Anolis sagrei: one gene and its partners. The protein of the gene in region 1 interacts with the protein of each later gene in a pairwise test. Links are inferred from orthologs where the notes say so. Each region holds a gene or a part of one and is shown in the gene's direction. Other genes may lie near its edges.

Region 1 (7,502 bases):
TTGAAAGCAAACTTAGGAATGTTAATTTGACAGGCATTCGACTCCCATGAATCATAAACCCTTTCCAAAGCCTGAAACTGAAAGGAACACATCCTTTCTCACTTTCCCACTAGATAACGGTTTGTTATCTTTCTTTTGCTTTGGCTGTAAACAAGCAGAACGCCTGAGATTCTGAAAGTTCTGCCTCTGTTTACTAAAACTTTGCCATGGTTTCACAATCATCTCCTGCACCTGGTAAAACAATCACGGCATAATTTTCAGACTGTGGCTCTGAAAAAAGCGGTGAAAGGTCTTTCCCAGGAATGTTGCCTTGCTCAGCCCTCTCTTCTGAACTTAATACCAGGCCGGGCAAACGCCACATTCCCAGGCCCATTATCGGGAACACCATCCCCATTCCTATTATGCACATCAACATGACTGTCGTTCCCAACATGAACATCATCTTGAGCATCAGACACAATCACAGGCTGACCTACAACAACACATACAAGGGGAGATGGGATGGGGTATAAATAAAGATGGCAAGAGTTCAACCAAGACCATTGGAGTCCGTGTGAAGAGAGCAGAAGTTGCCTTCTTCCTTACTGCTTTGTTTTCCAGGATGGATGTCGGGGAAGAGCGGCGTTGTGTTGGTTTCTCTGCCCGCAAGAGCCCTGCAAAGAAACGCAGTGTGAGAAGGATCAGAAATCCCAGAAGGAAGGGAAATGAATTTGGAAGAGCGTAGAGAACTAGGGGTCCATCTACGCTGTGGAATTAATGCAGTTTGACATCACTTGGGACCACCCTGGCTCAATGCAGTAGGATCCTAGGAGTTATAGTCTGGCACACCTTGTACATGATTCCAGAGCATTGAGCTGTGGCTGTTAAAGTGGTGTCAAACTGCGTTACTTATACAGTGCAGATCCCTGGCCTTACCGGTAGGGTTTTGGCTGCCTTTTGTAGAGCAAAGGTTTGTTCAGGTATTGCTGGGCCAAGAACTTGGTGTGGATCAGCTGGTACTCCATATCTATGGCTCAGCGATGTTGGCGCTCTCCCATCTTTCAGAATGGCGGGCCGCGTCTTGTGTGACATCAGCGTGTTCTGTTCTATCTGATAGCAAGGCGTCCTGCCAGCGGTTGAAGATCATCCTTGATCCTACCAGTCATTCAAATCCCTGAGACCAAGAGATAACTTATCTTCTATCTCCCAAGTCTCCAGGGCTAGATGAACCCCATCCAAGAGTACTGAAGTAACTAGAAGTGATTTCAGAACCACTGGCAATAATGTTTGAGCAATCTTGGAGAACAGGAGAAGTCCCAGCAGACTGGAGGAGGACAAAGGTTGTCCCCATCTTCGAGACATAAAAGGACAACCCAAACAATTCCCACTGTTCAGTCAGTCTGACATCAATACTCAAAGTCAACATGGATTCCTCAAAAACAAGTCATGCCAGACTCCTCTTATCTCTTTCTTCGATGGAGTTACAAGCTTGGTAGATGCAGGGAATGCTGTGGATGGAGCAGATCTTGATTTCAGGAAGGCCTTCCATGACCTCCTTGCTTCATACTAGCCCATTGTGGGCAAGGCAAGGCCTACTATAAGGTGGATATGGAATTGGTTAAGCAGCCAAAACCAAAGGGTGCTTCTTCCCAGTGGTTCATCTTCATCCTGGAATGACATGACTAGTAGAGTAGTAGTAGACTAGTAGAGTGAAGGGAGGAGCCAGGAAGACAGTTCCATCTTCTCTCCTGCACTGTGCTAATAATATAATAATATATTGTATATACATATAATACTGATGATATAATGTGATACAATATAATACTACTACTAATATAATTATATATTTTATATTACATGTAATATTACTAATATTACAGTATAATGGTATAGTACAATATAGTAATATACGAACTAGCTGTACACACCGCGCGTTGCTCTGGCCAGCCGTCCCTCCCTCTTTCTTTCCTTCTTGCCCTTCTTCCTTTGCTCCCTCTTCCCTTTTTTCTTTCTCTCCTTCCTTCCCTCTCTACCTTTCCTTCCTTCCCCCCTTTCTTTATCTCTTTCTCTCATTTCTTCCTTCCCTACTTCCTTCCTTCCTTTGTTTTTTGTTTCCATCCTCTCTTTCCTTCCCTCCCTCTTTCTCTCCTTCCTTTGCTCCATCTTTCCTTCCTTCCTTTCCTTTTATCTTTCCTTCTCTCCTTCCACCTCTACCTTTCCTTCCCCCTTTTCATCTTCTTTCCCTCACTTCTTCCTTCCCTACCTCTTTCCCTCTTTCCTTCCTTCGCTTTTTGTTTCAATCCTTCCTTCTCTCTTTCCTTCCTTCCCTCCCACTTTCTCTCGTTCTTTCATTCCTTCCCTTTTTTCTTTCCTTCTCTCCTTCCTTCCTTCTCTACCTTTTTCCTTCCTTCTATTTCCTACTTTATTTCCCTCTCTTTCTTTCTTTCTCCCTTTCTCTCCTTTCCTTCCTTTCCTTTTCTCTCTCCTTCTCCCCTTCCTTCTCTACCTCTTTCCTTCCTTCCCCTTTTTTTCCTTTCCTTTCCCTTTTTCTCCTTTCTTCCTTCTCTACCTCTTTCCTTCTCTATTTCCCTCCATCTTTCTTTCTCCCTTTCCTTCTTTCCTTCCTTCCTTCTCTGCCTCTTTCCTTCCTTCCCCCTTTTTTCCTTTCCTTCCCCTTTTCTTTCTTCCTTCTCTACCGCTTTCCTTCTTTCTTTCCTTCATTTCTCTCCCTCTTTCTCGTTCGTCCAATGGTTTTTGAGTTCTGTTAATCCCACAAACGAACTTACATTGTTATTTATATAGATATTGTGCTATGGTAATAATATATCGTATTTAGATATTACTTGTAAGCCGCTCTGAGTTCCCTTTAATAAAATGAATGTCAACAACTGTATTGTTGAAGGCTTTTATGGCCGGAATCACTGGGTTGTTGTGTGTTTTTTGGGTTGTATGGCAGAGTTCCAGAAGCATTCTCTCCTGATGTTTCGCCTGCATCTGTGGCAAGCATCCTCAGAGGTTGAGAGGTTCACTTTACCTGGAATCATATTGTGTCCCATTCTGGGCACCACCGTTCAAAAGAGATCTCGACTCTTAAGATGGAAGGGGTCCAGAGGAAGGAGACTAAAATGTTCAAATCGTTGGAGATCATGAATAATCCCTATGAGGAGCGTCTTAAAGAACTGGGTCTGTTTACCCTGCAAAAGAGAAGGTTGAGAGGAGACATGAGAGCAGTTAAAATTACATGTAACTGAGTCAAACTATTGCTAGGCTTATAATAATATAAGGTGCGCCAGTACGCATGCGCAGCGGTCTCCTTTAAGGAGCGAAGGTACCCCTCCCATCACAGATCAGCATAGCTTTAAGCGTCAAATAAAAGTACAGTACGCATGCGCGGCTGTTGCGAGGTTTTTAAAGGAGCGCCAGTACGCATGCGCGGCGGGCTCCTCTAAGGAGCGAAAGTTCCCCCTCCCACTGAGAGTTGCTTTAGACTTGTAAAGGAGCGGCAGTACGCATGCGCGGCGGTCTCCTTTAAGGAGCGAAGTTACCCCTCCCATCACAGATCAGCTGAGCTTTAAGCTTCAAATAAAAAGTACAGTACGCATGCGCGGCTGTTGCGAGGTTTTTAAAGGAGCGCCAGTACGCATGCGCGGCGACCTCCTTTAAGGAGCGGGAGTTCCCCCTCCTCTCACATATCAGTGATTCAAAGCATAACCAATTAAGCGCCAGTACGCATGCGCGGAGGGCTCCTCTAAGAAGCGAAAGTTCCCCCTCCCACTAGGTATTGCTTTAGGTTTGTTAAGGAGCGCCAGTACGCATGCGCGGCCGTTGCTTGGCTTCTAAAGGAGCGCCAGTACGCATGCGCGGCGGGCTCCTCTAAGAAGCGAAAGTTCCCCCTCCCACTAAAGTATTGCTTTAGGTTTGTTAAGGAGCGCCAGTACGCATGCGCGGCCGTTGCTCGGCTTCTAAAGGAGCGCCAGTACGCATGCGCGGCGGGCTCCTCTAATGAGCGAAAGTTCCACCTCCCACAGTATTGCTTTAGGCTTCTGAAGAAGCGCCACTACGCATGCGCGGCGGGCTCCTCTACGAAGCGAATGTTCCCCCTCCTTCCATCACATGTCACTGATTCGAAGCGTCTGCTAAATGAGCCCCAGTACGCATGCGCGACAGGCTCCTTCCAAGCCCCGCCCACGCAGGAAAGATTGGAAAAAAAGAATTCCCGCGCGAGTTTGATGAACGTCATCAACGCAGGCCGCGGCGGTGTGAGGGAGAGCAGGAGAGGCACTGGCTGCGCGGTGATGATGACGCAGGAGACAGCTCGAGCGCCGATTGGATGGGCTCGGATAAAAGGGTTGGGTTGAGGAGAGAGGGGGGAGCCGGGGGGGAGCGGTCTCGCGCGTGCGCAGTCCTCAGGCCGCCGCGCGCTCTCCTCAGAGTGATGACGCGAGGGCGCTGATTGGCCGCCGCCGCGGAGAGCGATGACGTGAGCGTGCGGCTCGGGCGCTGATTGGCGGCGACCTCGAGAGGGGCGTCTGAGGCGCTGGCGGCGGCGGCGGGCAGAGGAGGAGGAGGCGGCGGCGGCGTTGCTGCTGCGTGGTGCTGCTGCCCCGCCTCCGTCGCCCCTCGCCTCTTTCCTCTCCCTCCGCCAGGGCCAGGCCACGGCCATGACCGACTTCAAGCTGGGCATCGTGCGGCTGGGCCGAGTCGCCGGCAAGGTGAGAGAGAGAGAGAGCGAGCGGGGCGGGAGGCGGGCCAGGCCCTTCGCTCCCTCACAGGCCCGTGACGCGCCCTGACGTCACGCGGCGGACCTCTGTGACGTCAGGGGGCTTCCACAGGCCTGAAAGGAAGAGGGTCGTTTCCTTCCTCCCTTTCCCCCCCTCTCGCTACAATATGGTTGATATATAATACTAATATTATATATATATATACTTGCAGCACATGGTTATAGATATGTATTTGTACCACATGGTTATGTATCTTAGGCTTGGGCAAACTTGGGCCCTCCGGGTGTTTTGGACTCCAACTCCCACAATTCCTAACAGCCGGTAGGCTGTTAGGAATTGTGGGAGTTGGAGTCCAAAACACCCGGAGGGCCCAAGTTTACCCAGGCCTAGGAGATATATATATATATGTGTGTGTGTTTATACTAGCTGTCCCCTGCCACACGTTGCTGTGGCCCACATGGGGATTCTGTGTTGGAGGTTTGGCCCGTTTCTATCATTGGTGGGGTTCAGAATGCTCTTTGATTGCAGGTGATCTATAAATCCCAGCAACTACAAGTCCCAAATGTCAAGAAAGGAGGAAACCATGAAAAGGAACAAAATCTGGCTACCAGTATTAAAAAACTCTAAAATTACAACAGCACAACAACAGAGAGGAAACAAACAAGGACATCTAATCACCTCTCAACAAAAGTTTGCTCCAGGCACTGTCAGGCCATTATACGCTAATCAAGGTGGCCAATTGCCACAGTCACACTTGCCTCAAGCAGACAAGAGTTCTTTCTCCCACCCTGGACATCATTCCACAGATATATAAACCCTTTTTTCCTAGTTCCAACAGACCTCACTACCTCTGAGGATGCTTGCCATAGATGCAGGCGAAATGTCAGGAGAGAATGCCTCTAGACCATGGCCATATAGCCCGAAAAAACCTACAACAACCCAAGTTCCGTATAGTAGCTCTTTAAAATTATAGTAGTGACATAATAACAATTGCAAATGTCTGGTTTATATCATCCCCAAAATATCTTAATTTCCATTTCTAGCTTCTGCTGTGGACTTTACTAGTTTGGCTCGGATTTTTTGGGCTGCGACTGCAAATGTGGCAACTTTCAATGTTATATCTTTGGAATAATCCGCCAATAAGTCACAAATAACTGCTGACTGTTGCCATGCTGCCCTTTCTTCCAAAAGGGCTACCAAAATATTGTTTCGAGGGACATTATACAGTGAGCAATGTAACAGATAGTGTGTTACATCCTCTCTTTCCCCAGACCCACATATACAATATATATATCTAATATTGTGCTGTGCTAAGGGGACTCAGAGCGGCTTACAAGATATATATACATACAAGATATTATTAGCATAGCACAATATCAGTATTATATATTACTTTATTGTACTATTTATTTATTTATCTATCTATCTGTGGTGGCCCCTCGGCTGTGGAACTCCCTGCCTAGGGATATTAGATGGGCCCCCTCCCTCCTCACCTTTTGGAGAAGAGTGAAAACCTGGCTCTTTGAGCAAGTGTTTGGAACTTCAGCATGACCAGATAATCTCATATTGGAATATGAACTAGGAACGGCCAAGACGATGGAACGGTTGAGGAATTGAACAAGAAGACATAGTTTTTATAATTTGTATTGTTTATTGCTTTTATGGTTTTAAATGTATTATGGTGTGATTTTTGTTTTTGTTTTTAACCAATGTATGTATTTATATATGGCATCTAATTGTGTCGATTTGTACGGCACTTTGAGTCACCTTCGGGCTGATATGGGCGGGATAAAAGTAACATAAATAAATAAATAAATTGTACTATACCATTGTATTGGAATATTATTATTAGTAGTATTATATTGTATTACATTATAATATTATAAATATTATATGTTTAGACAATATATTATATTATATTATTACCATAAGACTGGAGACAAGGTGGAACTGTCTTCCTGGCCCCCTTCTCTCTTCACTCTGGCCCAGAGCAGCAGTTGGTGCAGGGAGAGGGACTCCCAACTGATGACATGGGCATATTATACAATATTGTATAATATATTGAATATATTGTATACATATATAATATTGATAATAATATAATGTAATACAATATATTAATAATAATACAATATAATAATTATAAATTTCATATTACATTTAATACTACTAATAATATTGCGGCATAGTGGTATAGTACAATATCGTAATATATAATACTAATACTGTGCTATGCTAAGAATTATAGCATATTGTATGTACATATAATATATTTGACTATATTACAGTATAATGGTATAGTACAATATAGTAACATATAATACTAATATTGTGCTATGCTAAGAATTATAGTATATTGTATGTACATATAATATTGATCATAATATTTTTATTTATTTGTTTAAAACATTTATATTCCGCCCTTCTCACACCGAAGGGGACTCAGGGTGGAGCGCAGCATATACACAGCAAACTTTCAATGCCGGGACACAAATTCATGTACAATACATAAACACTGAAAACATTTATCAAAATATTAAAATACACAATTTAAAACCATCCTGGTCATCCTCATAAAATCTAATTGGCTTGGTCATCTTTCCTATTGCCGCTTTATTCCCTGTCCCGAAAGCTTGGCCCCACAGCCAAGCTTTTAGCATCCTTCTAAAGGACAGGAGAGAGGAGGCCGACCTGATCTCACCAGGAAGGGAGTTCCATAGCTGGGGAGCAATCACCGAGAAGGCCCTGAGAAGGGCGACATATAAATGCCGTAAATAAATAAATAATCCTAGCATATGTAAC
Region 2 (7,237 bases), about 20 Mb from region 1:
CAGTACAGGTGGTCCCAGTGGTCATTGGCGCACTGGGTGCCATGCCAAAAGATCTCAGCAGGCACCCAGTGCGCCGATGACCACTGGGACCACCTGGAGTGGTTTATGCCAGAGCCTTTGCAGTTCGATTTTGAGGTCTTGATAGCGACAAAATCACGATCTGTCAACTGCAAAAGGCCACCTGACTTGGATCTGCGCGCATCATTTGAAAATACATCACACAGTCCTAGATGCGTGGGAAGTGTTTGGTTTGTGATTTTGTGATACGAAATCCAGCACATATATCTCATTTGCTGTGACATACTGTGGTTTGGTGTCAGTATAATAATAATAATAATTCATACCCCACCTTAATAATAATAATTTATAATTTATTATTATCTTTATTTATACCCCACCTTTCTCCCCATGGGAGAAATGTTATAATGTAATGCAATGTAATAATAATATGATATTATAATTATATATTTATATTACATCATCATCATTTAATAACTTATTAATCGCCCTCCATCCGAGAATGCTCCATTCTAATATTACTAATAATATTACGATATAGTGGTATGGTGCAATATAGCAATGTTCAATGCTGATATTGTACTATGCTAATAATATAATATATTGTATGTATGTATATATATACATATATATCTTATAAGCCAATCTGAGTCCCCTTCGGGGTGAGAAGGGCGGCATATAAATGTCGTAAATAAATAAATAAATAAATGGATCTGGGTTGAAGTTGGCCCACATTCACACCTGGAACAACTTTAAAAACTGGCAAGAATTGATAGAGGACGATGGGAATTGGAGTCGATTCAAACCTGTCATGGTCACCCATAATAGATCTGGACCAAACTTGGTACGCATGCCCTCCTTTACCCAACATAATGGGTTCTTCCCTACAGTGAGTGCCTACTGCCCTCAATAGGGATGTCAGACTGCATCACCCATCATCCCCAGATGCCCTTGTGCCTTGGGAAAGGTAGAATTGAGCTTTGTGGCCTCCCTTTCCCAGAATAAATGGATCCTTCTCTATAGAGGAGGGGTTCCTAACCTTTGGTCCTCTAGGCCTTTTGGACTTCAGCTCCCACAATTCCTAACAGCTGCTAAGTTGGCTAGGATACCTGGGAGTTGAAGTCCAAAACACCTGGAGGGCCCAAGGTTGGGAACCCCTGCTCTATAGAGACATTGGACTGCACCACCCATCAGCCCAGACCCCTAGAGCCTTGGGAAAGGCTGGAATGGGCTTTGTGATCTCCTGTTCAAAGCCTGGATGGGTCCTTCCCGGCAACCAAGGCCTCTTGTATTCAATTGGGGGCTTTGGACTGCACCCTCCACCATCCCCAGGCTCTTACCTGCCCTCCAGGCCCCCTCCCCGCGCTGCCACGGCGACAGCATCAGCCCCGCCCCATTGGAACGTACCATTCGTCCAATGGGGGGAGGAGACAGAGAATCCAAAGGAGCGCTTTGCATTGTGGGAAGTGTAGTTCCCATTGGAAGAGTCCAAATCAGAAAGAAGGGGAAGGGGGATCGAGAGGCCCCCTTTGTCCCAATGAATCATAGAATCATAGAATCAAAGAGTTGGAAGAGACCTCATGGGCCATCCAGTCCAACCCCCTGCCAAGAAGCAGGAATATTGCATTCAAATCACCCCTGACAAATGGCCATCCAGCCTCTGCTTAAAAGCTTCCAATGAAGGAGCCTCCACCACACTCCGGGGCAGAGAGTTCCACTGCTGAACGGCTCTCACAGTCAGGAAGTTTTTCCTAATGTTCAGATGAAGCTTTGGAGTAGAAGTGCACAGGATTTTTCCTATAATAATAATAATAATAATAATAAATTAATAATAATGGGTTGTTGTAGGTTTTTCAGGCTGTCTGGCCATGTTCCAGAAGCATTCCCTCCTGACGTTTCGCCCACTTTTATGGTAGGCATCCTCAGAGGTTGTGAGGTCTGGGTTGTTGTAGGTTTTTTCGGGTCTAGAGGCATACTCTCCTGACGTTTCGCCTCAATCTATGGCAGGCCTATTGGAACTAGGAAAAAGGGCTTATATATCTGTGGAATGACCAGGGTGGGACAAAGGACTCTTGTCTGCTGGAGCTAGGTGTGAATGTTTCAACTGACCACCTTGATTAGCATATAATGGCCTGACAGTGCCTGGGGGAATCTTTTGTTGAGAGGTGATTAAATGTCCTTGTTCGTTTCCTCTCTGTTGTTGTGCTGTTGTAATTTTAGAGTTTTTTTTAATACTAGTAGCCAGATTTTGTTCATTTTCATTGTTTCCTCCTTTCTGATGAAATTGTCCACATGCTTGTGTATTTCAATGGCTTCTGTGTGTAATCTGACATGGTGGTTGTGAGAGTGGTCCAGCATTTCTGTGCTCTGTTTCACCATTGCCTCACCACCAGCTACTTTCAGTGGGACAATGAGTTCTATGAACAGAAAGATGGAGTAGCTATGGGGAGCCCCCATAGCTAATTTGTACATGGAACACTTTGGAAAACAAGCCCTGAAAACAGCAACAAAAAAGCCCACTATATTGAGACCCTATATTCAAGGGTCTGGAGAACAAGCCCTATGAGGAGCGGCTTAAGGAGCTGGGCATGTTTAGCCTGAAGAAGAGAAGGCTGAGAGGAGATATGATAGCCATGTATAAATATGTGAGAGGAAGCCACAGGGAGGAGGGAGCAAACTTGTTTTCTGCTTCCTTGGAGACTAGGATGCGGAACAATGGCTTCAAACTACAAGAGAGGAGATTCCATCTGAACATGAGGAAGACCTTCCTGACTGTGAGAGCCGTTCAGCAGTGGAACTCTCTGCCCCGGAGTGTGGTGGAGGCTCCTTCTTTGGAAGCTTTTAAACAGACGCTGGATGGCCATCTGTCAGGGGTGATTTGAATGCAATATTCCTGCTTCTTGGCAGAATGGGGGTTGGACTGGATGGCCCATGAGGGCTCTTCCCACTCTTTGATTCTATGATTCTATGACTCCCCCCTGGGCACACAGAGGACTGGGCGACTTGGAAGGCGCTGAACAGACTGCGCTCTGGCACCACAAGATGCAGAGCCAATCTTAAGAAATGGGGCTACAAAGTGGAATCCACGACATGCGAGTGCGGAGAAGAGCAAACCACTGACCACCTGCTGCAATGCACCCTGAACCCTGCTGCATGCACAATGGAGGACCTTCTTGCAGCAACACCAGAGGCACTCCAAGTGGCCAGATACTGGTCAAAGGACATTTAATCAACTACCAAGTTTGCAAAATTTGGGTTTTTTTTATCTGTTTGTTTGTTTTGTTCTGTTAGAAATGTAATACAATGGTACGGTTGCTGATGACACAATAAATAAATAAAAAACCTCTCAACAAAAGATTCTCCCAGGCACTAAGAAGCCACACCTAAAAACTGTCAGGCCTTCAAATGCTAATCAAGCTGGCCAATGGCAACATTCACACTTGCCTCCAACAGACAAAAGTTCTTTCTCCCACCCTGGACATCATTCCACAGATATATAAACCCATTTTTCCTAGTTTCCAACAGCCCTCACAACCTCTGAGGATGCCTACCATAGATGTGAGCGAAACGTCAGGAGAGAATGCTTCTGGAACATGGTCAGACATCCCGAAAAACCTACAACAACCCAGTGATTCCGGCTATGAAAGCCTTCGACAACACATTATTATTATTATTATTATTATTATTATTATTAATATGAAACATAATAAAATAAGTATATAAATATAATATAAAAATAAATATATAAATTATATATATATATATATATATATAATATGAAACATTAAAAAATAAAAATCATACAATAAATATGAAACATAATAAAAATACATTCCATTATTGCTTTGAAAAATTTTAAGAAATAATAATGAAGCCCTTTGGTATAATTTTCCATTAAAATATTGTAAAACCATTAAAATATTGTAAAAGTATTGTATTTCCCATTCAAATATTGTAAAATATTTGAGGATCCCTCAAAGACATCAAAGTGTCTGTGCGTATTTTTCGTGCTTTTAAATATATATATATAACATGTCTTTATTAATGTTTGAAAAGAAAAGCAGAGGGCCGATAAAGTGGATTTGAATGGCGCTCGATAGCTCTGCCTTCGACTCCTTTTGCCTGGCTGGGGAGGAAGCGAGGGAACGAGGCGGATGACGTCATACGTAACGTCATCCTCGTCCGTTTATGATTGCGTAAGGAGCGCTGCGACGCGATGGCATGCCGGGATTTGTAGGCGGAAGTTTCTGACTGGCGAGGGCGGCCTGTTGCTGGAGGCTAGAGCTTCGAGCTCCGCCCTTCGGTTGGGCTGGGGACGCGGAGGGCGCGCCGACCCGCTCGGGAGACGGTTCAGTTCAGCCCGGGGAGTTTCGGAGGCCTCGGAGAGCGACGGCCGCGACCCCTTCGGCGTTTTGAGGAAGGAAAGAGGCGGCGGGTGAGGAGGACGCCCAAAGCGAGGCGGGCGGGCCCCGGAGAGCGGGAGGGAGGGGAGGCATTAAAGGGTGGGATTGATTTTGTGTTTGGTGGGTCAGTGCCTGGAAAGGAAGTGGAGCGGGCGGGCGGGGATAATTGATTTTGGAGCCCTGTTCCATTTTCAGGCAAGGTTAGAAAAGGAGAAGAGGAAGGGTATATTAGAGGTTCTTTAATAGGGACAGGTGGACGTTCAAGAGGGAGGACTTTAGATGAATGCACAACAGGTAGAACTTTAGGTGCATGTCCAGCAGGTAGACCTTTACATGAATGCACAACAGGCAGAACTTTAAGTGCATGTCCCAACAGATAGAGCTTAGGTGGATGGTGAGCTTTGGGTGGATGTCCAACAGGTAGAACATTAGGTGAATGTACTAAAGGTAGAGCTTTAGGTGGATGTACCAATGATAGAGCTTAGGTGGATGGCGAGCTTTGGGTGAATGTCCAACAGGCAGAGCTTTGGGTGAATGTACCAAAGGTAGAGCTTTAGGTGCATGTCCAACAGGTAGAACTTTAGGTGGACGTCCAACAGGTAGACCTTTAGATGAATGCACAAGAGGTAGAACTTTAGGTGGACGTCCAACAGGTAGACCTTTAGATGAATGCACAAGAGGTAGAACTTTAGGTGGACATCCAACAGGTAGAGCTTTAGATGAATGCACAACAGGTAGAGCTTCGTGTGGATGTCCCAAAGGTGGATGGTGAGCATTGGGTGAATGCCCAACAGGTAGAATTTAGGTGCATGTCCAACCCGTAGAATTTTGGGTGGCTGTTCAATAGGTAGAGCTTTAGGTGGATGTACCAATGATAGAGCTTAGGTGGATGGCGAGCTTTGGGTGAATGTCCAACAGGTAGAACATTAGGTGGATGTCCAACAGGCAGAGCTTTAGGTGGATGTACCAAAGGTAGAGCTTTAGGTGGATGGTGAGTTTGGGTGAATGTCCAACAGGTAGAACTTTAGGTGGATGTCCAACAGGTAGAGCTTCAGGTGGATGTTCCAAAGGTAGAGCTTAGGTGGATGGTGAGCTTTGGGTAAATGTCCAACAGGTAGAACATTAGGTGGATGTCCAACAGGCAGAGCTTTAGGTGGATGTACCAAACGTAAAGCTTTAGGTGGATGGTGAGCATTGGGTAAATGTGCAACAGGTAGAACGTTAGGTGGATGTCCCAACAGACAGAGCTTCAGGTAGATGTCCAAAGGTAGAGCTTTAGGTGGGTTGTGAGCATTGAGTGAATGTTCAACAAGAAGAACTTTAGGTGGATGTCCAACAGGCAGAGCTTTAGGCGGATGTACTAAAGGTTGAGCTTAAGTGGATGGTGAGTTTTGGGTGAATGTCCAACAGGTAGAACGTTAGGTGGATGTCCAACAGGCAGAGCTTCAGGTGGATGTTACAAAGGTAGAGCTTTAGGTGGATGTCCCAACAGATAGAGCTTAGGTGGATGGTGAGCATTGGGTGAATGTCCAACAGGTAGAACTTTAGGTGCATGTCCAACAGGCAGAGCTTCAGATGGATGTCCCAAAGGTAGAGCTTTAGATGGATGGTCAGCATTGGGTGAATGTCCAACAGGTAGAACTTTAGGTGGATGTCCAATGGGTAAAACTTTGGGTGGCTGTCCAACAGGCAGAGCTTTAAGTGGATGTCCAAACAGATAGAGCTTAGGTGGATGGTGAGCTTTGGGTGGCTGTCCAACAGGTAGAACTTTAGGTGCCTGTCCAGCAAATAGAACTTTAACTCTCCCAGGGTAGTGTGATTATGGAAAACCTCCATACCTAATAAAACATAGATGATGATAGTAATAATAAATTGTATTTATTACCCACTTCTCTTAACAGCTCTAGGAAGAGTACAACATACTCAAAACATATCAACTTGAAATACATACAACAAAATACATGCATCAAAACATACCATTATAAAATACATACACCAAAACACAGGGTACAAAGATTAACGTACAGCGGCAATAGAATACAATAGACTGTCTGGGGAGGAAGAATATTTAGCCAACTTTCATGAACATAGATGGAAATCATACTGGTGCAGCATGCTAGTGTATGATAAAGACTTTGGTTGAAATGTTTTAAATACGTTTTTTTCTTTGTTTCACAGAGGAGTGAAGCTTTACAACCAACATTGCCCGTCCTGCCTGTTCCAGCATCCTTTATCCATCAGAAAGAAATATAACAGGTATGCTATGTCCCAGTTGTTTACCCTCATTTAGGGTAGAGCTGTTCAATCAGTGGTGGGATGAGGAGTCAGCAAGTAGATATGTCGAATGGATTTAATGCATATACTATAATCAGAACTAAAAAGAGAATTTTGTTCATAATAATTGATCCTGTGCAATGCTGGCAGAACTTATAGGTTCAGCGTTGTCTTTATGCACATGGAGGTGACATCATTGCATTGTAGATCTAGCGGCTTTCTATGGGGCAAAGGGTAAGGAGTTGTGTGTCATAAATGATATGGTTTTTCTTGGCAAGATTTCTTCAGAGATGGTTTGTCGTCGCCTTCCTTTGAGGCCAAGAGAGTGGGACTTGCCCAAGGTCTCCTAGTGGGGATTTGTGTCCTAGGGTTCATCCACACTGTAGGATTAATGCAGTTTGACTCCACTTGAACTGACATGGCTCAGTTCTATGGAATCACGAGAGCTGTAGTTCGACAGCGCTGTTAATCTTCTCTGCCCAGGAATTTTGGTTCCTCATCAAGCTGTCAATCCCAGGAGTCCATAGCATTGAGCCAAGACA
Region 3 (7,654 bases), on another chromosome or scaffold:
AAGTCACTCCTGACACGACAAAAAACAAAAACTAAAAACTAACAAGCCACACCAAAAAACTGCCAGGCCATCAAATGCTAATCAAGGTGGTCAGTCGAAACATTCACACCTAGCTCCAACAAACAAGAGTTCTTTGTCCCACCCTGGTCATTCCACAGATATATAAACCCAATTTTCCTACTTCCAACAGACCTCACTACCTCTGAGGATGCTTGCCATAGATGCAGGTGAAACGTCAGGAGAGAATGCCTCTAGAACACTGTTTCTCAACCTGGGGGTTGGGACCCCTGGAGGGGTCATGAGGGGGTGTCAGAGGGGTCACTAAAGACCACCAGAAAACACAGTATTTTCTGTTGGTCATGGAGGGTCTGTGTGGGATGTTTGGCCCAATTCAATCATTGGTAGGATTCAGAATGCTCTTTGATTGTAGGTGAACTATAAGTCCCAGCAACGATAACTCCCAAATGTCAAGGTCTATTTTCCCCAATCTCCGCCCATGTTCACATTTGGGCATATTGAGTATTTGTGCCAAGTTTGGTCCAGATCCATCATTGTTTGAGTCTACAGTGCTTTCTGGGTGTAGGTGAACTACAACTCCAAAATTCAAGGTCAACGTCCACCAAACCCTTCCAGTATGTTCTGTTGGTCATGGGAGTTCTGTGTGCCAAGTTTGGTTCAATGCCATCGTTGGTGGAATTCAGAATGCTCCTTGATTCTAGGTAAACTATAAATCCCAGCAACTGCAACTCCCAAATGACAAAATCAAGCCCGCACCCCACCAGTATTCAAATTTTGGTGTTTCGAGTATTTGTGCCAAATTTGGTCTAGTGAATAAAATACATCCTGCATATGTGATGTTTACATTACGATTCATTTGTTGTTCATTCGTTCAGTCGTCTCCGACTCTTCGTGACCTCCTGGACCAGCCCACGCCAGAGCTCCCTGTCAGCTGTCACCACCCCCAGCTCCTTCAAGGTCAGTCCAGTCACTTCAAGGATGCCATCCATCCATCTTGCCCTTGGTCGGCCCCTCTTCCTTTTGCCTTCCACTTTCCCCAGCATGATTGTCTTCTTTAGGCTTTGCTGTCTCCTCATGATGTGGCCAAAGTACTTCAACTTCGTCTCTAGTATCCTTCCTTCCAGAGAGCAGTCGGGCTTTATTTCCTGGAGGATGGACTGGTTGGATCTTCTCGCAGTCCAAGGCACTCTCAGCACTTTCCTCCAGCACCACAGCTCAAAAGCATCGATCTTCCTTCGCTCAGCCTTCCCTAAGGTCCAGCTCTCACATCCGTAGGTTACTACAGGGAATACCATGGCTTTGACTAGGCGGATCTTTGTTGCCAGTGTGGTGTCTCTACTCTTTATTATTTTATTGAGATTGGACATTGCTCTCCTCCCAAGAAGTAAGCATCTCCTGATTTCCTGGCCACAGTCTGCATCTGCAGTAATCTTTGCACCTAGAAATACGAAGTCTGTCACGGTCTCCACATTTTCTCCCTCTATTTTCCAGTTGTCAGTCATTCTTGTTGCCATAATCTTGGTTTTTTTGATGTTTAGCTGCAACCCGGCTTTTGCGCTTTCTTCTTTCACCTTGATTAGAAGGCTCCTCAGCTCCTCCTTGCTTTCGGCCATCAGAGTGGTGTCATCTGCATATCTGAGGTTGTTAATGTTCCTTCCAGCAATTTTCACCCTAGCTTTGCATTCATCCAGCCCCGCACATCGCATGATGTGTTCTGCATACAAGTTTAAAAGGTTGGGTGAGAGGATGCAGCCTTGCCGTACGCCTTTCCCAATCTTGAACCAGTCTGTTGTTCCGTGGTCAGTTCTGACTGTTGCTACTTGGTCCTTGTACAGATTCCTCAGGAGAGAGACAAGGTGGCTTGGTATGCCCATCCCACCAAGAACTTGCCACAATTTATTATGATCCACCCAGTCAAAGGCTTTAGAATAGTCAATGAAGCAGAAGTAGATGTTTTTCTGAAACTCCCTGCCTTTCTCCATTATCCAGCGGATATTGGCAATCTGGTCTCTCGTTCCTCTGCCTTTTCTAAACCCAGCTTGAACATCTGGCAACTCTCGCTCCATGTATTGCTGGAGTCTTCCTTGCAGGATCTTGAGCATTACCTTACTGGCATGAGAAATAAGGGCCACTGTACGGAAGTTTGAGCAGTCTTTCGCATTTCCCTTTTTTGGTATGGGGATATAAGTTGATTTTTTCCAGTCTGATGGCCATTCTTGTGTTTTCCATATTTGCTGGCAAATGGCATGCATCACCTTGACACCATCATCTTTTAAGATTTTAAACAGTTCAGCTGGGATCCCATCATCTCCTGCTGCCTTGTTGTTAGCAATGCTTCTTAAGGCCCATTCAACCTCACTCCTCAGGATGTCTGGCTCTAATTCATTCACCACACCGTCAAAGCTATCCTCGATATTGTTATCCTTCCTATACAGATCTTCTGTATAGTCTCGCCACCTTCTCTTGATCTCTTCAGCTTCTGTTAGGTCCCTGCCATCTTTGTTTCTTATCATACCAATTTTTGCCTGAAATTTACCTCCAATGTTTCTAATTTTCTGGAAGAGGTCTCTTGTCCTTCCTATTCTGTTGTCTTCTTCCACTTCCATGCATTGCTTATTTAAAAATAGTTCCTTATCTCTTCTGGCTAACCTCTGGAATTGCGCATTTAACTGGGCATATCTCCCCTTTTCACTGTTTCCTTTTGCTTTCTTGGGCTACTTCCAGTGTCTCAGCAGACAACCATTTTGCCTTCTTGGTTTTCTTTTTCTTTGGAACGTACTTTGTTGCCGCCTCCTGAACAATGTCGCGGACTTCTGTCCATAGTTCTTCTGGGACTCTGTTTACTAAATCTAGTCCTTCAAATCTGTTCTTCACTTCCACTGTATATTCGCTAGGAATGTTAGTGAGATCATATCTAACTGGTCTGTGTATTTTCCCTGATCTCTTTAGTTTTATTCTAAATTGGGCAATAAGAAGTTCATGATCTGAGCTACAGTCAGCCCCAGGTCTTGTTTTCACCGACTGGATAGATGTCCGCCACCTTTGGCTGCAAAGGATGTAGTCAATCTGATTTCGGTGCTGACCATCTGGTAAGGTCCATGTATAAAGCCGTCTTTTAGGTTGTTGGAAGAGAGTATTCGTTATACACAGCGAGTTTTCCTGGCAGAATTCTATCAGCCTGCGTCCCGCTTCGTTTTGTTCTCCCAGACCATGCTTGCCTGTGATCCCTGTTGTCATTTGACTTCCCACCTTGGCATTCCAGTCTCCTGTAATGAAAATAATGTCTCTTTTTGGTGTATTATCCAGTAGGTCCTGCAGATCCTCATAGAACTGATCTACTTCTGCTTCTTCAGCTGCTGTGGTTGGGGCGTATATTTGGATCACTGTGATGTTGAGAGGCTTTCCTTGCACTCGAATTGAGATCATTCTGTCATTTTTGGGTTGTATCCAAGCACTGCTTTAGCGAATTTCTTATTAATTATGAAGGCTACTCCATTTCTTCGATGTTCCTCTTGTCCGCAGTAGTAGATCTGGTGGTCATCTGATGTGAAGTGGCCCATTCCAGTCCATTTCAGTTCGCTGACCCCCAGAATGTCTATCTTTAGTCTTGACATCTCACCAATAACAACATCCAATTTGCCCTGGCTCATAGATCTTACATTCCAGGTTCCTATGGTGTGTTGATCTTTAGAGCATCGGATTCGTCGTTCACCTCCAGTACCGTCGGCCGCTAGCCTTCCTTTCGGCTTTGAGCTAGCTGCGTCATCACATCTGGGGCTAGTTGAACTTATCCTCTGCTCCTCCCCAGTAGCATTTTGGCCATCTTCCGACCTGGGAGTCCCATCTTCCAATGGCATACCGACATATCTCTGGTTGTACTGGTCCATTTAGTTTTCTTGGCAAGGATACTGGAGTGGTTTGCCATTGCCTTCCCCAGGGATCACGCTTGGTCTGACCTCTCTGCCACAACCGTCCCGTCTTGGGTGGCCCTTCACGGTTTCGCTCATGACATCATTGAGGTGCTCAAGCTCCAGCGCCCCGACAAGGCGGTGATCCTTTGCTGGAGATTCATTACGATTCATAACAGGAGCAAAATGACAGTGATGAAGTAGCAACAAAAATAGTTTTATGGTTGGGGGTCACCACAACATGAGGAACTGTATTAAGGGGTCGCGGCATTGGGAAGGTTGAGAAACACTGCTCTAGAACATGGTCATATAGCCCGAAAAAAATTATAAGAACCCAAAGCCCTTTTTGGTAAATATGCATAAGAATGTGGGGGAGGAATCCCTCAGCCTACTCCTATCTTGAGTCTAGCTCCTCATTGTGGACTGGAGACTTGATGTGACAAGAGACTTGTGCAGAGCAGGGATGAGACCCAAAACATCTGAAGGAGCACCGTTTGAGAACCACTGGTTCACATGTTTTGCTCTGAGTTGGATTACATGAGTCTACACTGCCAAAGCAGATCATCTGGATGTTCGATGTCAGTGTGGAAAGGGCCTTTGTAGCCTTCTCTGCCTGCCCACGAGGGCTGGAATCTCTCCAAACTCCCCCTGATGCCAAACTGCATGAACCGGACAGTGTGTGGCTGCAGCTCCTTCCCTTCACTTCCCTCCCTTCAGTGCTGCTGCTGCTTCTTCCGCCCACGAGCCTCCCACGCGCCACTGAGGCAGAGCAGCAGCAGCACAAGCAACGCGGAGCCATTGTAAATCCGGCGGCGTGGGAGGCAACTCCGTGCCAAAGGCTGAGCGCACAGAGAGAGGGAGGGAGGGAGAGGCGAGGAGGAGGAGGAGGAGGAAGAAGGAGAAGGGGAGGAGGAGGGAAGGAAGGAAGAGCAGAGAGAGCGATTGAGAAAGAGAGCGATTGAGAGAGAGCTTCCACGGACAGAAGAGGGGACCAAAAGCGGCGTCGGATGCCTTGCGCCCTCGGAGAGAAGAGCAAGAGGAAGGCGCCTCCTGCAGGGCGAGCCAACCCCTTGGCCCATGCCCCACCCGCGGCCTCGGAAGGGAGCCACGCAAGAAACCCGTGAGTGCCTTTGGGAGGAGGGGGAAGGGAGAGCGAGTTAGGACACCCCTCTACACGGTGGAACTGATGCAGCTCCACACCGCTTGAGCTGCCCTGGCTCCATGCAGAGGCATCATAGTTCTCTCCTCCTCTGGGGCTGATCGGCCCTCTATTCCAGCATCTGATCCCAAGTTTTCTCCTTTAAACCGGATTATGTGAGTCCACACAGCCAGATAATCTGGGATAAACAGAAAACCGAAAACCTGGGATAGAGGGCCTGTCTGGAAGAGTCCACACTGCCAGATAATCCAGTTCAATGTGGATTTTATGCAGCTGTGTAGAAGGGGCTTAAGCAACAAATGCAAGAGGAAGTCAGTTAAACAAAACTATGTGTGTATATATGTGTGTGTGTGTGTGTGTGTGTGTGTGTTTGTGAATGTATATGTGTGTGTGTGTGTGTGTGTGTGTGTATATATATATATATATATATATATATATATATATATATATATTTGTGTATGTGGGTGTGTGTGAATAATTCAGTTGGGAGAGACGACAGGGGCCATATAGTCCATCCCCCCTGCCATGCAGGAAAAGCACCATCAAAGTACCCCTGATAGATGGCCATCCAGCCTCTATTTAAAAGCTTCCACCACATTCCGAAGCAGAAAGTCCCACTGCTGAATAGACATAAATATACAGTAGATTTGTCAATATAGAAAGATGAAGATGGGGAAGCGGACCTCGGGGTAGAAAATGAGGACATCAGTAGAGAGGCCACATTTTTCCAAGCACTGATTATAAACTCATGGAACCCCCGGTAGCGCAATGGGTTTAAACCCTTGTGCCGGCAGGACTGCTGACCAAAAGGTCACAGTTCGAATCTGGGGAGCAGGGTGAGCTCCTATCTGTCAGCTTCAGCTTCCCAAGCAGGGACATGAGAGAAGCCTCCCACAGGATAGTAAAAATATCTGGGTGTCTCCTGGGCAACATCCTTGCAGACAGACATCTCACTTCTCACATCAGAAGTGACTTGCAGTTTCTCAAGTCACTCCTGACATGAAAAAAAAGTTTAATTTAGAAGCTGTTTTGGGAAGTGAAGTAGTTAGGTAGTTTTAGACTGGGCTTCATGGTCTTATACTAGGAGGTGCTTAAAAGGAAGACCACTCATGACCCCTTTTTACCCAATAATGTTTCATATGACCTGGCTATAGATGTATGTCAAATTGATGTGAACACTAAACATTTACTGTGGCTGGATGTCCATCTGTCGGGGGTGCTTTAATTGTGTTTTTCCTGCATGGCAAAGAGTTGGACTAGATGACCCATGTGGTCTCTTCCAACTCTACGATTCTGTGACAAAATCTGCATTTGCAAGGCTTGCTAAGCAGACTGATTTCCCCTTTTTGTGATGTACAACTAAAGCATCTTCTGCAGAGTCCACTGTGAACACTGCACATTTTTGCTAACAGAATACTGTTTTTTAAACTGTAGGTCCTGATCCCAAATGGGGACCCCTTAGCTCAGTGTTGGAATCACAAAAAATGGGCAACAGCGAAACATATCTGAACCATGTGCAATGTTTACAACAATGTGCAATGTTTACAGTTGGGCTGGTTGTGCAGAAAATGCTTCAGCTGTCCTCCAAAAAAGGAAAAGTCAGTGCTCTAGATTAGTGATTCTCAACCTATGGTCCTCCCAGTTGTTTTGGACTTCAACTCCCAGATATCCTAGCCATCTTACCAGGTGTTAGGAATTGTAGGAACTGAAGTCCAAGGCTGAATCTATACCGCCCTATATTCCAGGATCTAATCTCAGGTTATCTGTTTATCCCAGATTATTTGGCAGTGTAGACTCAGATAATCCAGTTCAAAGCAGATAATTGGGATCAGATCCTGGGATATAGGGCAGTGTAGATCCAGCCCAGGATACCAGGAGGACCAAAGATTGGGAAGCACTGCTCAAGGTGGTTTTGCAACTCCCATCATTCTTTATTAGCTCTCCTGGCTGCTGAGACTTGCAACTTCATGGCACCTGAAGGGCAACATTTTTCCCACTCCAGTCCAGCAGGCTCCTCCCTGTTCAGATGTGTATTTACTTTACTGTATTACTTCCAAATATGGTTTAAGGGACATGTGCCATTCTCTTAAACGGGGCCACAGAATTCTGCCCCTAAAGCCCTCCTAAAGCATTTTGGCAAGCATGATATGTAATGGTGAGAGGAAAGGCAATGGTGGGAGTGGGCTGCTGCCTTCCCCGTCTCTTACAAACTACCACCACCAAAAGCATTCCTTCTCAACCTTCTTAATACAGTTCCTCATGTTGTGGTGACCCCCAACCATAAAAATATTTTCATTGCTACTTCATAATGGTAATTTTGCTACTGTTATGAATCATCATGTAAATATCTGATATGCAGGATCTATTTTCATTCACTGGACCAAATTTGGCACAAATATCCGATACACCCAAATTTTAATACTGGTGAGGTTGGGAAGGATTGATTTTGTCATTTGGGCATTGTAGTTGCTAGGATTTATAGTTCACCTACAATCAAAGCGCATTCTGAACTCCACCAACAATTGAATTGAACCAGGCTTGGCACACGGAACTCCCATGACCAACAGAA
Region 4 (7,133 bases), on another chromosome or scaffold:
TTTTCTGCCTGAGATTTTTCTATGGGACCTTAGATATATACGTATTTTAAAAAATCAAACTTTTCCTGATAATCAACCAGCATTTGCAAGGCTTGCCAAACAAAATAAAAAAATCTGTTCCTGGTTTAAAAGTGTCAATTTCTGTTTAAGTGTGCAATAAAGCACTGAGCTGCTGAGCTTGTTGACCAAAAGTTCACAGGTTCGATTCCAGGGAGCGGCGTGAGTTTCTGCTGTCAGCCCTAGCTTCTGCCAACCTAGCAGTTCGAAAACATGCAAATGTGAGTAGATCAATAGGTACCGCTCCGGCGGGAAGGTAACGGCGCTCCATGCGGTCATGCTGGCCACATGACCTTGGAGGTGTCTATGGACAATGCTGGCTCTTTGGCTTAGAAATGGAGATGAGCACCACACCCCAAAGTCAGACATGACTGGACTTAATGTCAGGGGACAACCTTTACCTACTTCCTTTGAAAGTAGTTGTGATACTCCAGAAACTTTATTTTGGTGGCTGCCATAAACTATATTGAACTGGTTGAGACTCGATGAGATATTCATTGAAAAACTATAGCAATCTGCGATATGGCAGGATGTCCTGCAAACACAAAGTTTTTGCAGGTTAATAAACTTTCCCCATGTTTTCATAATAGAACCAATTAGGAAATGACATTGATAATGCAGGAATAAAAAACTGTGTTATATAGTGTTATCTATCATGCAGACTGGGGATAATGGGAATTGTAACCTATCACCCCCTCATGGCTGTAATGGCTGTGAAAGGGCATTTTCAAATCAGACATTGTATCCACAAACCTTGTATATAAATTCACGCTCTGTCCTGGTCCACCCACATTTCTTCTATTTCCCTGAAAGCACAAGTTAGCAGATCTGCCATTTTGTGTTTTAGCATTACCAAAAGGGGTCGGTATTTACCAGGCTTGGGTAAACTTTGGCGCTCAAGCTGTTTTGGACTTCAGTCCCCACAATCCCTAACAGCCTGCTATATGTTAGGAATTGTGGGAGTTGAAGTCCAAAACACCTGGAGGACCAAAGATTGCCCATGCCTGGTATATACCATCAGCTATTTAAAAATGTAATGCCAAGACGCATCCAGCACCTGGATTGGTGGCTCAACACCTAAGATAGATTAGCACCAACCACAGTTCTTGAGGGCCGTCTTCCAGTTCCCCAGATGTGTGCCATCCTGTGTCTTACTGTTAAAATCTGGGGAAATCCCCCTGTCAACAAAAGCTTGGTGGTGGGCCCTTAAATATTGGATTACGGTCAGTGTTTTCAGACTGGGCTCAGGTCTGATTTACCATCTAGCTCAGAATGATTACACCAGCAACTGGTTAAAGCTTAACTCTTCTATTGCCTCTTCTATTGGCCTCTCTTCCTCCCTCTTATCTCATATTGGCACTTTAATCTATCAAACAAAGACTGTAGGACAGTGTTTCTCAACCTGGAGGTCGGGACCCCTGGGAAGGTCGCAAGGGGCTTTCAGAGGGGTCACCAAAGACCATCAGAAAACACTGTATTTTCTGTTGGTCATGGGGATTCTGTGTGGGAAGTTTGGCCCAATTCTATCATTGGTGGGGTTTAGAATGCTCTTTGATTGTAGGTGAACTATAAATCCCAGCAACTATGACTCCCAAATTTCAAGGTCTATTTTCCCCAAACTCCACCAGTGTTCACATCTGGGCATCTCGTGCCAAGTTTGGTCCACATCCTTCATTGCTTGAGTCCACAGTGTTCTCTGGATGTTGGTGAACTACAATGCCAAAACTCAAGGTCAATGCCCACCAAACCCTTCCAGTATTTTCTGCTGGTCATGGGAGTTCTGTGTGCCAAGTTTGGTTCAATTCCACCGATGGTGGACTTCAGAATGCTCTTGGATTGTAGGCGAACTATAAATCTACAACTCCCAAATGACAAACTCATTCCCCCCTCCAACCCCACCAGTATTCAAATTTGGGCGTATAGGGTATTTGTGAATGAAAATACATCCTGCATGTCAGATATTTACATTATGATTCATAACAATAGCAAAATTCCAGTTATGAATTAGCAACGAAAATAATATTATGACTGGGGGTCATCACAACATGAGGAACTGTATTAAGGGGTCACAATATTAGGAAGGTTGAGAAACAGTGCTGTAAGACATTGCCTTCGGTGAGCTGCATTACTGCTCATATGTTTCTTCTTCCCCAAGTGCACTGAGCATACACTTTGCTGGCCCTTTTCATGAAGCAAATTATCTTAAAAATGTGTCTGTGGCCAAATATCGCCACCTATTCTCCAAGCCAAGGTGCAATGTGTTCCCATCCGAAGTGCTTTGGGGTAAATTTGCAGAGTCTCATGCAATGCAAGACTTTGCCTTTGTAATAACCAAGATGTTGAATGTATGGACCCTTCCACACTGCCCTTTATACCAGGATCTGATCCTAGATTATCTGCTTTAAACTGGAATATATGAGTCGCCACTGCCAGATAACCTAGAGCCCCTCCCACACAGCAGAATAAAATCCCACATTATCTGCTTTGAACTGGAATATATGGCAGTGTGGACTCAGATAAGCCAGTTCAAAGCAGATATTATGGGATTTTCTGCCTTGAAATTCTGAGTTATATGGCTGTATGGAAGGGCCCTGGGGTAAAATGATAAACTGGGATCAGATCCTGGGATAAAGAGGTAGTGTGGAAGGGCCCTATGCCTCACATTTTATTGTCCTGCAGTTTTTACAAACAAGCTCAGCTACATATTAGTAACCTACTACTGATACTGGAGCCCCCGGTGGTGCAGTGGGTTAAAGCACTGAGCTGGTGAGCTTGTTGACTGAAAGGTTGCAGGTTCAAATCCGGGGAGCGGCGTGAGCTTCCAGTGTCAGCCCCAGCTTCTGCCAACCCAGCAGTTTGAAAACATGCAAATGTGAGTAGATCAATAGGTACTGCTATGGTGGGAAGGTAACAGCGTTTCATGCAGTCATGCCGGCCACATGACCTTGGAGGTGTCTACGGACAATGCTGGTTCTTTGGCTTAGAAATGGAGATGAGCATCAACCCCTAAAGTCAGACACGACTGGACTTCATGTCAGGGGAAAACCTTTACCTTTACCCTACTACTGAGAAACCTTCCCAATAGATCAGCCCAAATCCAAATAAAGTTCTTACTAGGTTTTTTTTCTTCAAATTCCCCTACGTGACCATTATTGTTGCCAAACTTCTCTCTGAGGTAGCCAGGATAAGACAACTTCTGCTGTCAAGAATTCAATGACTGCACGTTGCTTAAGTCGCATTGACGTACTGCCTGCACAGGGTTCCATACTTCTCACTTTAACAACACAACCGTTCAATGCTAAGGTTTCCTGCCAAAATGGAACTGTAGAGGAGTGTCTACTGAACAAGCCAGTACCTGCTGCATACCAGTACTGCCATCTGTTGAGGAGTTACAGTACCTGCTGCATAGCAGTACTGCCTTCTGTTGAGGCATTACTTTTCATTCAACCCTGGAATTATATAAAGGAAGGGGGGCCATAGAAAAGTCCAGAGGCTCGGGGGGGGGAGGGTTCTGGGCTTGGGTCTCCCCCCCCCCCCCAGTTCCCTTCCAGGTGAGCAGGAGGAGGGTGCCTTGTTTCCATTGGAGTAACAGGGGCGTTCAATGACTGCACGTTGCTTAAGTCGCATTGACCGACCGTCTGCGCAGGGTTCCATAATTTGCACTTTAACAACAAAGCCGTTCAATGCTAAGGCTTCCTGCCAAAATGGAACTGTAGAGGAGTGTCTACTGAACAAGCCAGTACCTGCTGCATACCAGTACTGCCATCTGTTGAGGAGTTACAATGGTGGAGGCATTACTTTTCATCCAAACCTGGTAGTATAGAAAGGAAGGGGGCCCATAGGGGCTCCGGGGGAGGGGGTCTGGGCTTGGGTCCCTCCTTCCTCCTTTCCCCCCAGTTCCCTTCCAGGTGAGCAGGAGGAGGGCGCCTTGCTTCCATTGGAGTAACGGGGGCGGGGGGTGCTCCTGGGCGGCCCTCCTGGAGCTCTGCGACGCACCTGGCGAACGCGTTGTCTGCGCTTGTCCTCGGCGGCAGAATTTCGCCTCGGTCCCTTGCAGCAGCCAGTCAGTGAGAGAGAGCGAGAGAGAGAGGCGGCAGGAGCAGCAGCAGCAGCATCCGCTCCTCCTCCTCCTCTTGCTGCTGCTGCTGCCTGGGTCCAGCTCGCCTTCGCCCAGCCTCCTCTCCCTCCCTGCCTGCCTGCCTGCTTCGCTCGCCCACCCGGGCTGCTGACAACCCGCGCGGCGCCACCGGGATCTGGCTGGACTTCTGCGCGCAGGTAAGGGAAGGGGAAGAAAGGAAAGGGAAGGGGAGGAAGGGGCAGCCCCGGAGAGCGGGCGGCAATGGCAGCAGCAGCAGCGGCAGCATCCACCCGGCGGGGTCCCGCTTCCCATCCTCAGTGGGGAGAAGGGAGCAGGCCGGGCCAGGCAGCCAGGCAGCCAGCCTGCGAGGGGCTTGGGGCAGATGGGCGGCGCGGAGGGGCTCCTCCTCTGCCTCCTCTTCCTCCTCTGCTTCTGCCCTTGGTCTCCATCCCTCCTCCTCTTCCTCCTGCCAACCCCAGAGTCCAAAAGTTTCCTCCTCTCCCGGCCTGGCGCCCCTTCCTCCTCTCTTCCTCTCGGGAAAGGGGAGCAGACCCTCCCCGCCCCTCGGTTGGCCCCTCCGTCCACCCCCAGGCGGCTCTTGCAAAGGAAGGGAGGACTTTGTGCCTTGAAGGCGCTTTGCCATCACCCCCCTTCCTCCTGAAAGTTTCCTCCTGTCACTGAAGGGGGGGGGGGGTTGGAGCCAGTCCTCAGTCCACAGGGATGGAGAGGGTCGTGTCCCTAGTGCCATCTCCTGCCCAAGGCGAGACCTAGGAGAGCAAGGACCAAGGAGCTGACTTGACAGCAAAAGTTTCCTAGATGCTTTGTGGGCTTTTTGGGGGTTGATAGTGGAGGTTCTGAAAACTTGATAGTATCCATTTTCAAGACCTGAATGGCTTCATTTCACCTGAACTTTCTGACCTTAAGAGCTGTTCAACAGTGGAACTCTCCCTGCCTTGGAGTGTAGTAGAAGCTTTAAATCAAAGAGTTGGAAGAGACCTCATGGGTCATCTAGTCCAACCCCATTCTGCCAAGAAGCAGGAAAATTGCATTCAAAGCACCCCCCGACAGATGGCCATCCAGCTTCTGTTTAAAAGCTTCCAAAGAAGGAGCCCCTACCACACTCCGGGGCAGAGAGTTCCACTGCTGAACAGCTCTCACAGTCAGGAAGTTCTTCCTCATGTTCAGATGGAATCTCCTTTCTTGAAGCCATTGTTCTGCGTCCTAATCTTCAGAGCAGCAGAAAACAAGTAGGAGAGGCTGGATGACCATCTGCTGGGGGTGTTTTGATTGTGCTTTTCCTGCATGGCAAGGGGTTCTCCTATAGATGGCCCATGTGGTCTCTTCCAACTATTATTCTAATGTTGGTCACGCGTCAGGGCATGTCAGAGGCAAATGGGCAATTGGTCCATCCCTTTCCATCAACCAGAAGGAAAAGAGAGCTTGGGTTGTTGGGAGTTTTTCAGACTGTCTGGCCATGTTCTGGAAGCATTCTTTCCTGATGTTTTGCCTGCATGTATGGCAGACATCCTCAGAGGTTGTGAGGTGTGTTGGAAACCAGGAAAATAGGGTTTATATATCTGTGGAATGTCCAGGGTCGGAGAAAGAACTCTTATTTATTGTTTTATTTATTATTTTACTATATTTGCATTCTGCCTTTGTCCCCAAGGAAACTCAAGGTGGATTGCTGTGAGTTTTGTGGGCTGTCTGGCCATGTTCTAGAAGCATTCTCTCCTGACATTTCACCTGCATCTATGGCAGGCATCCTCAGAGGTTGTGAGGTGTGTTGGAAACTAGGAAAATTGGGTTTATATATCTGTGGAATGTCCAGGGTGGGAAAAAGAACTCTTATTTATTATTATTATTATTATTATTATTATTATTATTATTATTTTACTATATATATTTACTTCCTGCCTTTGTCTCCAAGGAGACTCAAGTTTTTTTTTTGTCGTGTCAGGAGCGACTTGAGAAACTGCAAGTCGCTTCTGGTGTGAGAGAATTGGCCGTCCACAAGGATGTTGCCCAGGGGACGCCCGGATGTCTTGATGTTTTACCATCCATGTGGAAGGCTTCTCTCATGTCCCCGCATGAGGAGCTGGAGCTGACAGAGGGAGCTCATCCACGCTGTCCCCGAATTCGAACCTGCAACCTGTGGGTCTTCAGTCCTACCGGCACAGGGGTTTAACCCACTGTGCTACCGGGGGCTCTGAGACTCAAGGTGGATTGCTGTGAGTTTTCTGGGCTGTCTGGTCATGTTCCAGAAGCATTCTCTCCTGATGTTTTGCCCACATCGATGACAGGCATCTTCAGAGTTTGTGAGGTCTGTTGGAAACAAAGCAAGTGGGGTTTATGTATCTGTGGAATGTCCAGGGTGGGAGGAAGAACTCTTGTCTGAATGAGAGCTTGTTTCAACTCAGGAGAGTTGGACAGCATCCTTCCTTCTCTCCTGAGGGGAGCAGCCTCGCTTCAGGAACAGGGCATCAGTCGCTTGCTCGCTTCTTTCTCTCTCTCTGTCTGCCCCAGAGGTGACTCCCTAATGTAAGGTCTGGCTTTCTTGGGTGTCATTGCCGCAGGGAAAAAAAGCTATCCAAAAGATGGTGAAAATATTGGCTAGTCTCCCAGGGGTGCCCCCCCCCCCCCACTTTCCCCTCTTCTTGGATGAGTGCCAAGGGTGAGAGATCACAGTCTGCAGGCTGGGAAATGAACAGCCCAACCACCACCTCCTTGCAATTTCAGGAGACGGTGGTGTGGAAACGAGTTGCACTTCATAAAAGCCCACGCGTTTATTTAGCTTTGTTTTTCTTAAGTGTCTCTATCTGTTTGTGCCTCTTATTTTTGATTGCCAGTGTAAAAAATACCCAAGAACCAAGTCTTTGTCAAAGAGAAAAAGTCTTTCAGATGGCAGACAGGCAGCTCTTCAAATTCTAGACTTGATTGACAGGAGCTTGGAAAGTCTTTCCCTCTCATTCACATGTTGTGCATGTGGGGGTCTCGAGGG

The links.
Region 2: the proteins of ZMYND19 (region 1) and TNFAIP1 interact in binary tests that used the Homo sapiens proteins (3 or more experiments, as listed by UniProt). The two-hybrid records come from large-scale screens. The link is inferred for Anolis sagrei from reciprocal best matches to the Homo sapiens genes ZMYND19 and TNFAIP1.
Region 3: the proteins of ZMYND19 (region 1) and NAB2 interact in binary tests that used the Homo sapiens proteins (3 or more experiments, as listed by UniProt). The two-hybrid records come from large-scale screens. The link is inferred for Anolis sagrei from reciprocal best matches to the Homo sapiens genes ZMYND19 and NAB2.
Region 4: the proteins of ZMYND19 (region 1) and ENOX1 interact in binary tests that used the Homo sapiens proteins (3 or more experiments, as listed by UniProt). The two-hybrid records come from large-scale screens. The link is inferred for Anolis sagrei from reciprocal best matches to the Homo sapiens genes ZMYND19 and ENOX1.

The regions. Positions count from the first base shown.
Region 1 is NC_090031.1:6,000,280-6,007,781, forward strand, and holds the start of ZMYND19 (zinc finger MYND domain-containing protein 19), read left to right. Parts: upstream 1-4,492; 5' UTR 4,493-4,640; coding exon 4,641-4,691; intron 4,692-7,502. Other genes in the region: protein STPG3, read right to left, coding at 586-761, 916-1,004. UniProt on the Homo sapiens protein: May be involved as a regulatory molecule in GPR24/MCH-R1 signaling.
Region 2 is NC_090031.1:25,689,314-25,696,550, forward strand, and holds the start of TNFAIP1 (BTB/POZ domain-containing adapter for CUL3-mediated RhoA degradation protein 2), read left to right. Parts: upstream 1-4,236; 5' UTR 4,237-4,453; intron 4,454-6,599; 5' UTR 6,600-6,677; intron 6,678-7,237. UniProt on the Homo sapiens protein: Substrate-specific adapter of a BCR (BTB-CUL3-RBX1) E3 ubiquitin-protein ligase complex involved in regulation of cytoskeleton structure.
Region 3 is NC_090022.1:184,056,509-184,064,162, forward strand, and holds the start of NAB2 (NGFI-A-binding protein 2), read left to right. Parts: upstream 1-4,650; 5' UTR 4,651-4,933; coding exon 4,934-5,046; intron 5,047-7,654. UniProt on the Homo sapiens protein: Acts as a transcriptional repressor for zinc finger transcription factors EGR1 and EGR2. Isoform 2 lacks repression ability.
Region 4 is NC_090023.1:144,623,181-144,630,313, forward strand, and holds the start of ENOX1 (ecto-NOX disulfide-thiol exchanger 1), read left to right. Parts: upstream 1-4,122; 5' UTR 4,123-4,332; intron 4,333-7,133. UniProt on the Homo sapiens protein: Probably acts as a terminal oxidase of plasma electron transport from cytosolic NAD(P)H via hydroquinones to acceptors at the cell surface.